Linked DNA regions of Drosophila melanogaster. The protein of the gene in region 2 interacts with the protein of the main gene of each other region in a pairwise test. Each region holds a gene or a part of one and is shown on either strand. Other genes may lie near its edges.

The links. Proteins that work in one complex are often made in the same cells at the same time.
Region 1: the proteins of CG13843 (region 2) and Mlp60A interact in a two-hybrid assay, tested with the Drosophila melanogaster proteins (one large-scale study listed by BioGRID).
Region 3: the proteins of CG13843 (region 2) and CG43996 interact in a two-hybrid assay, tested with the Drosophila melanogaster proteins (one large-scale study listed by BioGRID).

Annotation. Positions count from the first base shown.
Region 1 is NT_033778.4:24,072,984-24,078,723, reverse strand, and holds Mlp60A (muscle LIM protein at 60A), read right to left. Parts: upstream 4,123-5,740; 5' UTR 3,655-4,122; intron 3,551-3,654; exon of another isoform or gene 3,526-3,550; 5' UTR 3,502-3,525; coding exon 3,387-3,501; intron 3,276-3,386; coding exon 3,116-3,275; coding exon of another isoform or gene 3,112-3,115; exon of another isoform or gene 2,770-3,111; intron 2,544-2,769; coding exon 2,441-2,543; intron 2,379-2,440; coding exon 2,282-2,378; intron 2,222-2,281; coding exon 2,125-2,221; intron 2,071-2,124; coding exon 1,774-2,070; intron 1,667-1,773; coding exon 1,346-1,666; intron 1,287-1,345; coding exon 1,016-1,286; 3' UTR 501-1,015; downstream 1-500. Other genes in the region: CG10339 (uncharacterized protein), read left to right, coding at 1-390; Gpat4 (Glycerol-3-phosphate acyltransferase 4), read right to left, coding at 5,393-5,696. UniProt on the Drosophila melanogaster protein: Positive regulator of myogenesis.
Region 2 is NT_033777.3:22,606,319-22,612,486, reverse strand, and holds CG13843 (uncharacterized protein), read right to left. Parts: upstream 3,003-6,168; 5' UTR 2,950-3,002; coding exon 2,381-2,949; intron 2,333-2,380; coding exon 1,813-2,332; 3' UTR 1,772-1,812; downstream 1-1,771. Other genes in the region: CG31156 (uncharacterized protein), read left to right, coding at 1-194, 254-624, 684-966, 1,036-1,235, 1,288-1,477, 1,535-1,765, 3,006-3,138, 3,212-3,341 and 1 more; Efa6 (exchange factor for Arf 6), read right to left, coding at 5,269-5,290.
Region 3 is NC_004354.4:17,020,360-17,023,870, forward strand, and holds CG43996 (uncharacterized protein), read left to right. Parts: upstream 1-1,944; 5' UTR 1,945-1,964; coding exon 1,965-2,948; 3' UTR 2,949-3,011; downstream 3,012-3,511. Other genes in the region: CG43997 (uncharacterized protein), read left to right, coding at 3,167-3,511.

The DNA of each region.
Region 1 (5,740 bases), on a different chromosome or scaffold from region 2:
GTGCCCAAGTACTTCGACCAGATCTTCGTGTGGGGCAATCCCTACATGACCAACTCCGTTGACTGGAAGTCGACCGACAAGAAGATCGCCGACATCATCATGACCCTGTGGGCGAACTTCGCCAAGACCTCGAACCCCACGAAGTCGAACGTGTACGTGAAGTGGAACGCCATGACCCCCAATAACGATTCAGTGCTTCTGATCGACGAGAGCTTCAACACGGACAACCTGCTGAACAACCAGCGGATCAACTTCTGGAGATCGCTGTACCCCAAGATCCTTGTCTTCTCCGCCGACTGCTGCAACTCCACGTTCTCGGGCAGCGGCCTGGTGATCGCCACTTCCGTTCCCATACTATGTACCCTTAGCATTATCGTTAATATATTTTGAATAAAGAGCTCCTGCAATAGATGACGCTTTGACCCTCTCCAAGTAATCTGTCCTACCGTTACTTATTACTTATTATATAATAAATATTTGAAAACAACAGAACCACATGTACAAAGTTACCACTTGTCGTTTATTAGTCGTTCGAAACTTATAGGATATTGATTTGTTGCTACGACTGCCATATATGTATATCATATCATAGGGAGTAACTCAGAAGTTCAAAGGATTTCGAATGGCGGTATCGATTGAAAATGGTGTGCATTTGCATTTGCACACCAATCCTTTGGATTCTTGGGCATCCTCGATAAACAAGGTTTGGAAATTCGTTTTCGCAGGTTTTACGATGAAGTTCAAGTCGAAGGTTAGAATGCATTTTTCGGTACTTATGTTCGAGACTTATACAATTTCTATACTAACCACCGCCAACTCATTCGCCTTCTATACTTTCATAACTAAATGTCGTTGTCTTGGAGCTAAAAGTACACTCTTGTGGAATTGCAATACTACACCTATTCGTCATCCTCAAAAATGTGGGCGCTCAAGGACTGAAATCCCCAGCACGAATCTTGGAGCTTATTCCATGCTGGTGGGATTAGTTCTTGAACGCGCTTTTTTGGTCGAGTTGTTAAGCCATTGTCAGTGTGCCAGCTCCGATTCCGTAGCCCACACCCTTTGGCCCATAGAACTTGGCGTAGCACGATCGGCAATAGATGCCGCCATCGGGTCCGTCGTTCAGATTGGTCGAGTCCAGGTATTTCCGGCACTCCATGCAGTAGAAACAGAGCTTGTGCCACACGTTCTTCGCGCTCTTCACCTGTTCCGCGGCGAAGACCATGAATCCGCATCGCGGACACCCGTTCTCCGACTTTTGTCCGTTGCGATCGATGGTTCCCCAGCTGGAAGAAGAGATCCTTGGATCCAGACGAACTCTCTTTGAACTGGACAACGGACTTACCAGCTGGGCGTGTACTCGTAGTTGGTGGACACCAGGGTGGGCGTGTGTCCGTACCCGACGCCTTTGGGGCCAAAGAGCTTCGCGTAGCAGAGCTTGCAATAGATATTGTCATCCGGTCCGTCACAGGCGAGCACCGAGTCCAGGGGTCGGGTGCACCTGGCGCAGTTGAAGCACTTCCTGTGGTACATCTTCCCCTTGGACAGCTGCAGCTCGGCCGCAAAGACCGCTCCGCCACATCGGGGACATCCCTCGCCGTCCGGAGCCATGATCGAAGTGGTGTCCGGAGCCACAAAGGGTCGTTCGGATGCCAAGTTCTCCTCACTGTAACAAATCTCTTTCAGTCAAATTATGGATTGGATTTTGACGAATATGATTGAAAGCTTGTTTTATCCAAATTCAAGATGAGCCTTGGAATGGAAACCACTCACGTAATGCCGTCGGTTTGCAGGAAACTGGATCCACAGGCGAATCCGTAGCCATGGGGTCCCCACTTCTTGCCATAGCAAGTCTTGCAGTAGACCTCATTGTCCGGACCATCGCACGCGATAATGGAGTCCAGAGTTTTGGTGCAGTCCCGACACTTGAAGCACTTCCGGTGCCAGCTCCTTCCCTTGGAGAGAACTTGTTCCGCGGCGAATACTACGCCGCCACAACGTGGGCATCCTTCTCCGATTGGCGCCTGGATTTGCTCCACATTTATGATGGAGGCTTTGGGAGCCATGTCGCTGCAAGCACCAACATAATAACCTAGCCAGAATTGGTGTTACTACTAATCTCACCTTTGCCACTCGCTATCCCTGATGTCGGACATCAACCCCAAGGACGAAATGCCGATGTGCCCGTAACCCCTGGCCCCAAACTTCTGAGCATAACATCCTGAAAAGCGAATGCTTCTAGAGATCCTAATTCTCTAAAATCTATGGGTTGGAAATGTACCTCTACAGTAAATGTCCTTGTCCGGACCATCACAGTGAAGAGTTGAGTCTAGAGTCTTGTTGCATTGCACGCACTTAAAGCACCTTCGATGGTAACCCTGCGATAAAGAACACCACCTAAGACAAGGGCCGACGGACCGAGATCGTTTCAATAGTTCACCTTTCCTCTGGCCAGCATCTGCTCGGCGGCATACACATATATGCCACACCGTGGGCAGCCCAGCCCGTCGGGTGCTTTTGGGGGAATCTTGGGCGGAACGAATCTAGAAAGATTCAAATGCCTCCCTCAATTACGGCGCTCTCGGTGGACATCCAATGTGGGGGGGGGGGGGGGTTGTTTCATCTTAGTCACACACAAGACGAGGAACAAAAGTCAGAAAGGTCGGTCGTTGTGCCCGAACAAAAAACGAATTGGGGAAATACACGAAATCCACATAGACAGCAGCGAGGGAGATGCGAATAGAAACCTATAAATAACATGTGAATAAGCTTACAACTACTTTGTTTTATTGTACATTTATTTTATCAATTTACAGTCCGCGGACGTTGTAAACAAAGATACAAGAATTATTTCACCAAAGACCACAATGTGTTTGCTAGTTTAACATTAACAATCGGTTAGTGTTAGTGGAATTTTCCAGGGAATCAGAAACTGGATATCCCTGGCGGTTTCTGCCCGGAAAGTTAAAAACAAATTTTTCGGTTGCTTTTTTGGGGGTGGGCGTGTGGAAAACATTGAAAACATACAGGTTCTAATAGAAAGCAAAACTACACATTTAATTCAAGGAATTTTACACAATTTTCATACAAAACATATTTCTTATTTAGTCCTTACTCTCTGTTTAAGTGGGCGCCAGTGTCCGTGGACAGGCAGCCGGCACCACCACCGAAACCGTATCCCTTGGGACCGTATTTGCGACCATGGCAGTTTTTGCAGAAAAGCTCCTTCTCGTGCTCCGTGCAGTTGGTCGAGTCCAGGGCCTTGTTGCACATGCCTGAAACGGGCGAGTGGAGGGGGAGGGGGGTAGGGTTTTGCGTTAGCTATCCGACATCCGACTCGAAGGACCAAGTCCAGACGATCTGGCTGGCAGGACATTTATACTTACTGCACTTGAAGCAGGTCTTGTGGAATTTGTAGCCTCCGGCAACGCGCTCCTCGGCAGCGTAGACCGACTTGCCGCACGCGGGGCACTTGGGGGTTTCAACGGGAACGAAAGGCATTTTGATCTGAGTGCGTGTGTGTGTCTGCGGGGGCAAAAAACTGTGATTATGGCAAACTGCAGCGGCTATGCGTGTGGTGGATCAGCGCGATTCAATTATATACACACATATATATATGTATATATATATATATATAATCCTAAGGATATATACCTCGGAGGTACTCTGTGAAGTAGTTCCTATTCGTCGGAAATGCCGCGGACTAGACTGGAAAGATTCTGTACACAGGTAGTCTATATTTGTGGATGCACACGGCACAACTAAGAAAATACAGTTTGCGTAATAAAAACAGCACTTTCTGAATATATCATTTATTTATCATGCAATGCCCACGGCTCTATGTATGTGTACTCTCGGCTATATCCACGCCCCGATGTCTCATTCCTGGGCTGGTAACAGACCAGTTAGACTAACTTGGATTACTATATCTTCACCCACTGGGAAGGAATTTGCCTCGTCTTGAAGTAATTTGTTTTGTTCTACTGCACTCTCAAGTGCGAGGCATGCAAGATTTTTGGGGAAAAATCGAAATATATAATGGGCTGTTTCTCACGAAGGTTCTACCCGTATAACCAACCAACTAACCAACCAACCATCCATCCAACCAACTAACCCATATGTAATCTGATTTTACGCAACAATTAATTTATTAGCTTTCGACACGCACACCAAAATCCGCGCAGATGTAAATATGTATGTTTGTAGTCTAAAAATATATGCACACCCATGCGATGTGTATCAAAGTACATTCATGGCCTTATTTTAAACTTAGAAATTCGAAAATAGCTCATAACTGCTCAACCCAGATCCATAAATAAACCCATTACGCATTGATCGCTCGATCGGAATTGGAATCGGATTTGGAATCGGAATCGGATTTACATGCCATAAAGTGTTCGAAAATAGGTTCCAGTTTTCGAAAGAGCGTTTTTGGAGAGTGGATCGAGTGGCCAGCCACAAGTGTTTCAATTGGGGGGCCAAACGAATATGCACATGGATATGAATATGAATATGGATGTGGATGTGGATGTGTATGTGGATGGAGTGAAGCATCTTTTCATCAGCGCCTGCGATGCCCATGTATAAACATATCTATAAATAGAGGGGCTCTGGGTATTTGTTAATTGTAAATCGCTCACTTGCGATTGGCAATGAGCCTAACAATTTATGAAGGCCAGGCCCATTGACTCGACAAATCTGACAATGTGGTTTGCTTTGCCAGCATTGTTTATCCGCGTGCCGATCCGATCCGATACCACCATTATTTTTGGCGACAGTTCAGGGTTAGTTCATCGCCAAGAATGTCGGGAATTAACCACTCGATCGACCGATCGCCTCCAACTCGGAACACGGAAGTATGTATGTCTTAATTACCTGTATGGGTGGACAATTAGTGCAAAATAGACATTTGGCGCAGCGCTGAGTCAGCCACTCGTATTTATTATTAGCCGCATAATTATGAATATGTAATCTAGTTATTCGCCATCTTGTTGGCTTCATTTGGCTCCGCTTAACTATGCATGATATGCAGGTGGCCAAAAATCAACATCCATAGGTTGCTGACCTGGTCTCGCTCCATCCAACAAAGAGGCCTCACCTTCGAGCCCATTCTTCGCCAGAGTGTGGCTGGCGTTTTGCATGACAAAGAAATGAATTTACAGCGATCGGGTCCAGATGTTATGATAATCAGCTTATCAGATATCGTTTATTTTACAAAGTAGATAAATTAATTAATATACAAATAATTATTATAATTGTACATTTGACTTCATCTTTTATTTAACCATCCAATTGTTAATCGTAATTTATACAAATTACAGTCGCTGCAATACAAATTATGCAAAATCATGTATGTATATCATTTACAGTCACTGTATGGTAATATGGTAATTTAGGTGGAGTCCGACTTCAGCCGATTGGCAAACTCGACTTGCTGGATCTCCCTCCACTCCTTCTTTGGCTTCATGCGCTTCAGCTGCCCGTCCCAGACCAGATCAATCAAACCTCCCTGCTTCGCGATGACACTCTTCACGCGGTTCGCGAAGTCGATCGCCGACTCTCCCTCCTGCCTGTACATCGGCGGCAGGTACCACACATCGCACACGATGGCCCACGAGGTCATCATCATGTACAGATACTGCATCATCGAGTACTTCGCGCTGTTCCAGAAGGCGTCGCCGAACCTCGGATCGTACCTTCAAGCCAAAAGAGACCCCACGGATGAGAAATGGTTTCGCCG
Region 2 (6,168 bases):
GCCAAAGCTTTGGGCTTGCAGGTGTACGCCGATTGTTTACTGTACGGCTCAGCACCTAAGGTCAACCTTTCTGAAATTGTGGACCGCCGAAATGAGGCTTTAGCTACGGAGGCACTTGTGATGTCTGGAATCTGCCAAATTATTATTCACAACATCAGCAAAAACACAAATGTTTTGGAGGAAATACGCAGATTGTAAGCTCTTGTACCTAACTAGGAAGTTTCTATTGAAATTATTTGCTATATCGTTCTAGGCAAAACGTGCACCGGGTATTCCTCAAGTGCAGCAAGACCAAGGAGGCGAAATCGTCTAAATCTAGTTCTTCTAGTAAAGCAAGCTCCAGTAAAGGATCCAACCAAAATGCAGATAAGAAATTGGATAGCTCAAAGTTTGAGAATTATTTCAACTTCCAGGGTGATGTTAAAACTATAAAACCTTATCAAATGTTAGCCATCAATCGTGGGGAGAAGCACAAATGGCTTTCTGTCAAGATAGAAACGAACGATTACCTTAAAAGAGATCTGATGCGCTATATAACCGATCAGTACATGAACCAAGGCTTGCAATATCCATTAAGAAGGGAGGTGTTCACAAAATCCTTAGAGGAGTGCTACGCGAAGAAGTGTAAGATATGGAATATATTAAGACCCCCATATGATATGTTAATTAATTACTTATTACAGTGCAGCCCTTGATGTGCAGGCAGATTCGAGCGGCTTTAAAAGAAAAAGGCACAAAGGCAGCCATCGATGTGTTTGCCAAGAACCTGAAGCAACTACTGTTGATATCCCCCTTGAAAGGCGAACGCATTTTGGGCATAGATCCGGGTTTTATAAATGGATGCAAGCTGGCACTTATATCCGAGACTGCTGATGTGCTGTACACTGGTGTTATTTACCCTCATGGTGCCATGTCAAACAAGCGGGCTGCCGAACAGAAATTGGTTCAGCTTCTTTCAGATCATAAGTATATATATATTTTGAATTCGATTTGCAAAGATAGTTATTAATATGTCTTTTTTGCCTTTCCCAAAAGCTGTAAAATTATTGGCCTGGGCAATGGTACTGCCTGTCGCGAAACTGAGCACTGGCTAACTGGTATGTTTCATGCCGGCGTTCTGGACAGCAGGATCATTCGCTACAGCATCGTTAACGAGAATGGAGCATCTATTTACTCCTGCAGCAATGTGGCCGCCAAGGAGTTTCCCAAAATGGATACAAACGAAAGGAGCGCAGGTTTGGACGAAGATCAAATTAAAAGCAACACAAACAAACATATTTTGTATAGTGTCCATAGCGCGTCGTTTGAATGATCCATTGAGTGAATATGTTAAAATAGAGCCCCGTCACCTGGGGGTTGGTATGTACCAGCACGATGTTCCCGAGAAGATTTTGACGGCATCGCTGAATGACGTTGTGTCCGAGTGTGTCAGTTATGTTGGCGTTGATCTCAACACAGCCAGTCTGAGTGTACTCAAGTATGTGTGATTAAGGGTCAAATAAGTTATATATTTTTAATATTCTCCACCATATAGGCACATTGCTGGTCTGTCGGAAAAGAAAGCGGAAAAGATCATTGAGCATCGTACGCAGAAAGGACCATTCAAGACACGGAAGGATCTGCTCTCCGTGCGAAGCATAGGTGAGAAATCGTTTGTCCAGTGCGCCGGTTTTGTGCGCATCGAACCCCGAAGCGTTGGAGGACAACTACAGAATCCATTAGATTGCACTTGGGTGCATCCTGAGAGCTACAACGTTGTGGAAAGGTAAGTCCAATATTCAATTGACTTCATTAACCAATAATAATGAGACTTTATTCCGCCTGATTCATCGCAAGCCTGGCCTTTTCATCCGCTGCCCTCACTAACAAGGAGGTGTCACTAGGTGTCACAATGTCACTTTCGTGTTGCGTGATGCCAGCTATGTTCTTTGGACAATCGTCGTCAAAATTCTTAAGATTTGTAACATCCTCGCTAGATTCCATTTGACACCAGCACGGAAGGTACGGCTTCAAGGGATCCTTCTTGTCGCAACGCTTGCAGGTGCAGTTCTCCATGCCGGCACTCATAAAAGTCCGGAAGTCCGTCTCCTGACTCAAAAGCCCCAGATAGTCCTCTATAGAGTGCTCTTTCATAGGGTCCATCAGCTCCGCCCACGTCTTTAGCTTCACGATCACGCCAAAGAAATACGTGTTTAAGTCCTCGATTATTTGCAGCACCGAATCTAGCTCTTTCAAGAATGTACTTCCTAAAGACCGGTCCAACCTGGCTACGCGTTGATCTAGCTCCTTTTTCGACTCACTCATGTCCAGGTATAAATTGCTCAAATCGGTGCTAAAAAGTTTTAAATTAGCAGTGGCTGTGTATTTTTAATAGACTTACTTTGACTGATTGACGATATTGTAGGCTCTCTGAAACTCGCAAAGGGCCCGCTCTTCGGTCATCCGGCTTATGTACTCGGGATAGGTCTTAGTGCATCCGGTCGAGCTGGCTAAAATGCGATAACGCACTCCATGGTAACGCATCTCCTTAACCCTCTCAATCTGAAATGGTTTGGCCTGCTCCAGCTCATTCTTCAGGGCCTTCATTTTCTGGTCAACTACTAGAGTTTGCTCGTGCACACACTGCTCAAGCTTAAAATCGTAGCGGGAGTAGATATTCTCACAATGCTTGAAGGTTGGCTTCAGCAAATGGATGGGAATGGTCGATCCCCGGCACGGTGGCGGAAGCGGACGACGCTTGTACCGCTCCGGCGGATACTCCCAGCAAACTCCAAAGCGGGTTTGATCCTGCACATTGAGCGGATGCTGCCAGCAGGGCTTGTATTTCGGCTTATCGTTGTGGCCGTAGAATGCTACCTTTCCACATGCAACATATCGAAGCTTGGCTGGCGGCACAATTGGAGGATAATGCCAGCGCTCCGCATATTCCTGCTTTAGCTTGGCAATCATTATAATGGAAAATTTGAAAACTTAACTCTAAAACCAAATACTTTTTGTGCTTTCAGTATTGTCGGAGAATGTGACTTAAAGCTGTCGGATGTGGGCAAGGCTGCCTTTATAGCTAGCATCAAGCAGTTTGCCTCATCCCAGCCTAATCTCGATCGCATTGCCAAGCAGCACAAGCTGCCCATGGAGCGAGTAAGTGCCACTCAATCTATACTAAACAGGCCTATTGCAATGTTCAAATAATTTAAAATAAATTTCCTTTCAGTTGGAGTTCCTGTTGGTTGCCCTGCAGCGCGAATTACTTCAGGATTATCGAGCAGATCTGGACAAGAGGCCACTGTTCAAACAAGGTCTAACTAGGCTGGATGATCTTAGCATGGGCGAGGTGGTCACTGGCAAGTGGAGACTATGATAGTCATTTCATATATGTACTTATTGAAACTATTCCGACACACAGGTGCCGTGACCAACGTAACCCAGTTTGGCGCCTTCGTGGACGTTGGAGTGGAGCGCAATGGCCTCATACACAACAGTAACATGAATAATTCGCAGCTGAGCGTTGGCGATCGCATTGTGGCATCGGTGGTAAAGGTGGATCTGAAGCGACGCCAGTTGGAATTACGTTTGGAAAATATGCTGATGGAGACGGATACCTCGTTTAAGTTCAAGGCGGAGGATTAGACAAACTGCAGGGATTTAATGCTTTCGGAAGTATTTAATGATTCATATCGTAATTGTTTGGTTGCTCACACGAGCATTCATATATACTATATATAGTTCATATATATATTTATATATATGTGTATATGCATAGTATAACGGCTTTCCTAAGTTTAATCAAAGCTTATCAGTTAGTAATAAATGTTCACATAAAAATCACCGTCTCCACGTTCGTCTTCTTGTTTCCCTTCTCGCCACAAGTTGGCAAGTTGTCTTAAATGAATTGTTATCGAAAGGGTATTGCTTTAGAAACTAAGTGATGCCCTCTTAAGCCAGTTAAAATAAATATACAATATGCATACATTTAGGCGCTTGGTTTGCAGCAGGCAAGTTGCTTTCACTTTTAGTTAGTTTGTATTTTCGAATTTATTGCCGTTTCAGTAGAATTGTTAAAAATTATTATAAACAATGTTATATAGTCTGCATTTACATAATTACACAATACCATAATCATAATATATTCAAAAATATATGATGCATTTAATTTTATTTTTTCCTCCATCTCTCTTTACCCCGTAATGGATATTTAATTTCATATTCTAGCTACATGGACATGTCGCGTAATCAACCGATAGTTGTTTAAATAAATATATTAATCCGTACATAATATTGGAGTAACTGTTCCTACACAGTTAAATGTGATAATGTATCGCAAAAGACCAAAAACAAGTTGTACACGGTATGGTAGTAATTGCTTAAGCTTAATGCTAATGCGCTTGTCCTCTTCTCAATTCTCATTTCGTTATTGTTACTGCCGATGTTCTCCATCTTGTGGTTGTGTAGAGATATTGTTCATTAATTAATAATTTATTTTTATCATTTATAATGATAGCATAGGTAATGATGTAAGTATTGTTTATCAACTCTTGTAATAATAAGTCTATGTGTATAAGCAGTTTTCATTCTCGTTCCTAAACAGCCGTCCAGCAGAATCTTTGGCGGAGCAAATATGAACGATAATTCAAATTCGAATCGATCTGACTGTGTAGCTTTAAATCAGGTGAAACCGATCTCGAATACCCTCATTCTGGATAAGTAGCATGGTAAATATAAAATCAACTGCACGAATTCGAGATAATCCTCTGGTTGCCGAGATTATGCCGATGTCTTCTGATGAACGACCTTTAAACGTAAAATTCTCCCTCGTTAATTATCGCATTGGTAGTCTAATTGTCTCAAATGATCTCTTTCTCGCAACCCCTGATGGGGTTTTAACTGACTGAAAGTGCACGAATTCCGAATTTCTGTGGCAGACACGGCACAGCCGCAACGCTTGAGTGTAAGTGGGTGGGTGGTGGCGTGGCGCGAGTGGTGCTGAGTATGCGAGTGGGTGAGTGGTTCAGTGGTTCTGTGTGGATCTGATCTGTTTATGTTCCCGTCGCAGGCAGCTTGGCATTTTGGAGTATTCTATTCAAATTCGTTCAATCGCCTGCTTCACTGGTGGGGAGAGAAAAGATAGTTACACGCATAAGTCGAAGTTGCTGATAGGTTCAATGTGGGCATGGCACTTACCGATAGCCAAGAGGCGGGGATTGTGATGTAGGTGTGTGTTGGTTATGCGAGTTTTGAAATGATCGAAATCAAGAGCGAAATAAAACGTAATTATTTCTTTTTCTTCTCTTTTCTGCAAGTGTAGAACAATAAGCGAGGTTAGCAATCGTGGATTGAAAACAAAAAACGGGTTGTCGGATGGTGGGAATTCGTTTTGGGATCGCACTAAGCCAAGCTAGACACTGAAGAGTTAACAATTAACATTGAGTTTTGGCCTCGGCCTGCTCACATTTAATAAGACAGGTGATCGGGTCGATCAGTACGGGTCAGGGCATTTACAAGGAGCACCTCTTGGAGCGGATCACTAGCCTCTGAGTTGTGGTGCTTCGTGTGCTGTGGCTGATGTGGCTAAATCTTGGCAAGAGACTAAGTTGCTTAATGGCTTTTCGAATGGATCAAGTGCCGCCAGAGTGGGCAACAGCAGCAGAAGACATCGAACCATCTGTAAGATTGAAGAATTCTTCCATTTGGGTTTTGCTTTTCACATTTCACTTGCATTTGGGTGGAACGTAGCATTTGAACGCATTTGAACGGGAAAACGGAATGGCAACGGGCAACGAGTAACGGCAACTGCTTTGGGTTCACCTAGGGCTCGGGGTCACCAAATGTCGTCGGGTTAACATGAGTCATATATGGGTACATCGGTGAAATCATCAGCAACTTGTGTACAGTGTGTGGGTGTGGGATGGCTTAATTGATTCGTCTACTTAAATTTTATATCTATCCGTTGGATGTGTGCTGGTTTGTAAAACTGGTATAATCCTTTTTTCTTTGTGAGTTATTATGTTGTTGCATGTATATTTGGAATGCCGGTAGCTTAGGCTTAAACGTAAACGTTTGCTACTAGTGAACCACATTTGTGTTTTCTACATTTCTTTGTTTAATTTCGTTTCTAAATATATTCTTTGGTTTGTATACATTTAACGCCAAAACTTTGGATACTAGTGCTAC
Region 3 (3,511 bases), on a different chromosome or scaffold from region 2:
TTAGTCATGAGTTGAAACTTTATTTGAAATATTTATTCAAAATGTGATTCATTAAGTCAGTATACGTTTAGTAAAATGTATTTTAGCACAGATAATAATGCTTTAAACTAACCAAATTATTCATAACAAAAACTTTTTTCTGAAATATGGTGGTATAGATTAGTCTAAATGGCTTTTAAACAATTTTGAATTGAAATGCGTCATTTGGTAACGCCTAAAAATCGCTCAACTGAAGCCGCATAATAATAATTGATAATTATTTTTATTCGTTCTTTGTATGGCCCAAAGTAACAGGAAAAATAAATTATGTTCCATTAAAAAGGGGCAAACGCTGAAACACATAATTAGAAATAGCTCATTTAGTTCTCCCCTCCTTTCACTGCTAATTGCCATTGCGAGTAAAAGGGCTTGCCACTTTAAATTAAAGTTTAAATGTCACTGAACTAAAAAGCTCCCTCTGGCCAACTTTTTCCCGCACAGATGTGCGTTTTCCTGCTCGCTGTATATCCTGTGGAAATGGAATCGACTCCCCAACGACGACTGCCATCAACTGCAGCAGTTTAATTGCAAATTGCAGGGAAGTCGCCTGGTCGAGCAATTACAAAATGCTAGAGTGGGCCGGCGGAATTAAATCAAATCTCTAAGAGGACATGATAACTGAGGGGCAAACCTGTTTAAGCATACCTCTACACCTAGAGAAATAGTAAAATAACGAGCTTTTATTGTAAAATGTTAATAATCTTAGGCCTTAACGAAAAAGGTGTAGTTAAAACCTTTTATGAAATACAGTAATATAACAAATTGAACAAAACTTAAGATGCCTTAATCGCAATTGTAGTTTCCATAAAAAGTTCGATCGATGAATTTCCCTCAGTGCACGCATGTTTTCCAATTTTGCTCGGGCATAAAGACATTTTCATGGGACAGCTTGTTGCACCCACGGCAGGAAAGCGACACTGAAAATGCATTTTCCAAGAGCGGTACTCATCATGCCCCGCCCATCGTCCTCCGGTGATGCATATAAGTCGTAACTATCCCCACTCCCACCTGAGGCACCTGGATCACCTGCACCATCATCGTCTTCATCATCGGACTTGTCTGTAGCACTTGTGCTGCGTTTCTATTTCTATTTCCATCCTCACCGGCATCCTTTCCATCCTTTAGCAACTTCCGCAAGGGTGACGCTCAGCATGGTGTGATTATGCACTAAGAAAAAATTGTCCAACATTTCAAGATCTGAGAAAATATGCATGTTTTCCTATAGTATATAGGATTGAATGAATGAGGACAATCAAAAACTTTTATAATAAACCATCTCAAAATCTCAAAATAAGTTTTTGTATTTCCTTCCTCATTTTTTCCAGTGCATGTCGTGGTGTAGGGGTTTTTTGTGGGAGATGGTGAGTGACTTCCCTTCCGCTTGCGTAGGTGTTTCGCTCGTGGCCATCTTTTGGCCTCAGTTTACCATTTTTCTTCATCTTTTGTGAGCGCTGATGAATTCGTTAGACGCCACCCCCCCCCCCCCTTTTATCCACAACCCACCACCACCCACATTTCCCAACCCCCAATGCCAACCCGCCCATGGTCGCACCTTTGGGGCAATCGTGCGCAGGTTGTAAACAACAGGCGGGGTAAAAGAATGGAAACAAAAACCGCAATAAGTGAACATTTCAGTGCCGCATCCTTGACGTCAGTGGCAGCAGGAAACTGCGGGAAAATCAGGGAAAAGCTGGAGAAAAGCATCAGGAGATGAAGCCGCCAGAAGCCGCAGGAATGCAAACCGATGACATACCGGAAGGAAAGCCACAGGAATCCATTGGTTTTGTAAGATTTCCATTCCGGAGGTTGAGCGAAAATGTTTATGAGAATCAAAAGCAAACAATTAAAATTCAAGGAATCATCGTTTGATGTTTAAATGTTTCGAAAAGCATTAAATGTCATTTGCTACGCTCTAACAAAATAAAATGGCCTGGTTAACTAAAATAATCATTATATTTATCCTTTTGCTACACACTCAATTGACTCAACTGATACAGTATATTGACGATGGTGACACATTTGATGGCTTTAACTCCATATTTGAAAAGCCAAAGAAGCAACGAAGCGGTGCCATGGAGGACGATTTCGATCGAGATCGGGATCAGTGGAAGGTCAATACCGACATGGACTCGCAATCGGGCATATGTCCCGCCGAAAATCCGAATGATGTGAAGTATGAAAAGAAGGATCGCTGCAAGGTTGACAGGAAGATGGTCAAGGACGAGGACGATGACGAGAATGCCGATCCTGCGGGCAATAGTGATGACGATGATATCCATGATGGTGATGAAGACAATGGCGATGATGAGGCTTATGAAGAGGAGGACGACGACATTAGTTTTGAGGATGAAGCTTTTGTTTCGAGAATTAACTGTTTGTTGGGATCTCTGCACAAGCACACCAAAGCCATAACCGATAATCTGCAGATCCTTCAATCCCGCTTGTCAAAAGCGAAAAATGACAACATATGCAGAAACAACAACCAAGGCACTACGCCTACGGAACATCCTAGTCTGAAATGGTCCAAGAAGCCGGATTTCTATGAGGCAACCGAGCTGTGTGCTGATGACAACTGCCATTTCGAGGACAGTGTGGATAACAAAGAGGTCCAGCCACAAGCTTTTACTGAGGATCGTCGAGTGATGGTTCCGCCTCTATTGCAACTCTTCCATGGTCCTGTCCAGCTGCAAACCACTTTGAACAGCGGCCAGGACATCACGGGATCAAAGTCGAGATATTGGATGACCTCACCGGAAACATCAGAGGAGTTTCAGGCTTCATCGCAATTACAGCCGGATGAAAAAAATCAAGAACGATACGAGGATTACGATGCTAAATTGCGTCGCCTCATGGACAGTCGGGATGAGATCGAGCGAAATGTGATGAGAATGATAACTCCGGATTTATAAAATAAATATTGTATGAATATTAATACTTAAAGAGACCCTACAATAAAGAATAAAACCATTTGTATGTACTCTTGCTTTAAATATGTTCACAACTTTTAAAAAATATATTAATACTATATGAAATGTGTAATCCAAGTACGCCAGCCCTTCTTCTGCCAAATGTTTCAGCCGCTTTTACTCATTCCGACTATAGTCAGCACTCCGACAACTTATCGAAAATGACTTCCGTCGCTTTACTGGTGATAATCTACATTTCCATTGTGATTTTCGGGCGCTGTCAAGTGGACGGACGACGTCCACCAAAGAAACCGACCTTCTACGACTACGATGATGAATCGGACATGTTTGAAAAGATGACGGACCAGGACTATGAGGTCCAGTCGAACTGTCGCAAAGGCCAAGATGTGGACGCCATGGACGAGGTACTGGACACCAGTGACTTGGATTTGAACCCAGATTACCGCATGGGCAAGAATATGGCACGTTCACAGCGCAAGTCGCACCACAAGTTTCCCGATTCGTGGGCCATGTTGGTCAAGGAGGGAAAGGAGGAAATGCAGCTG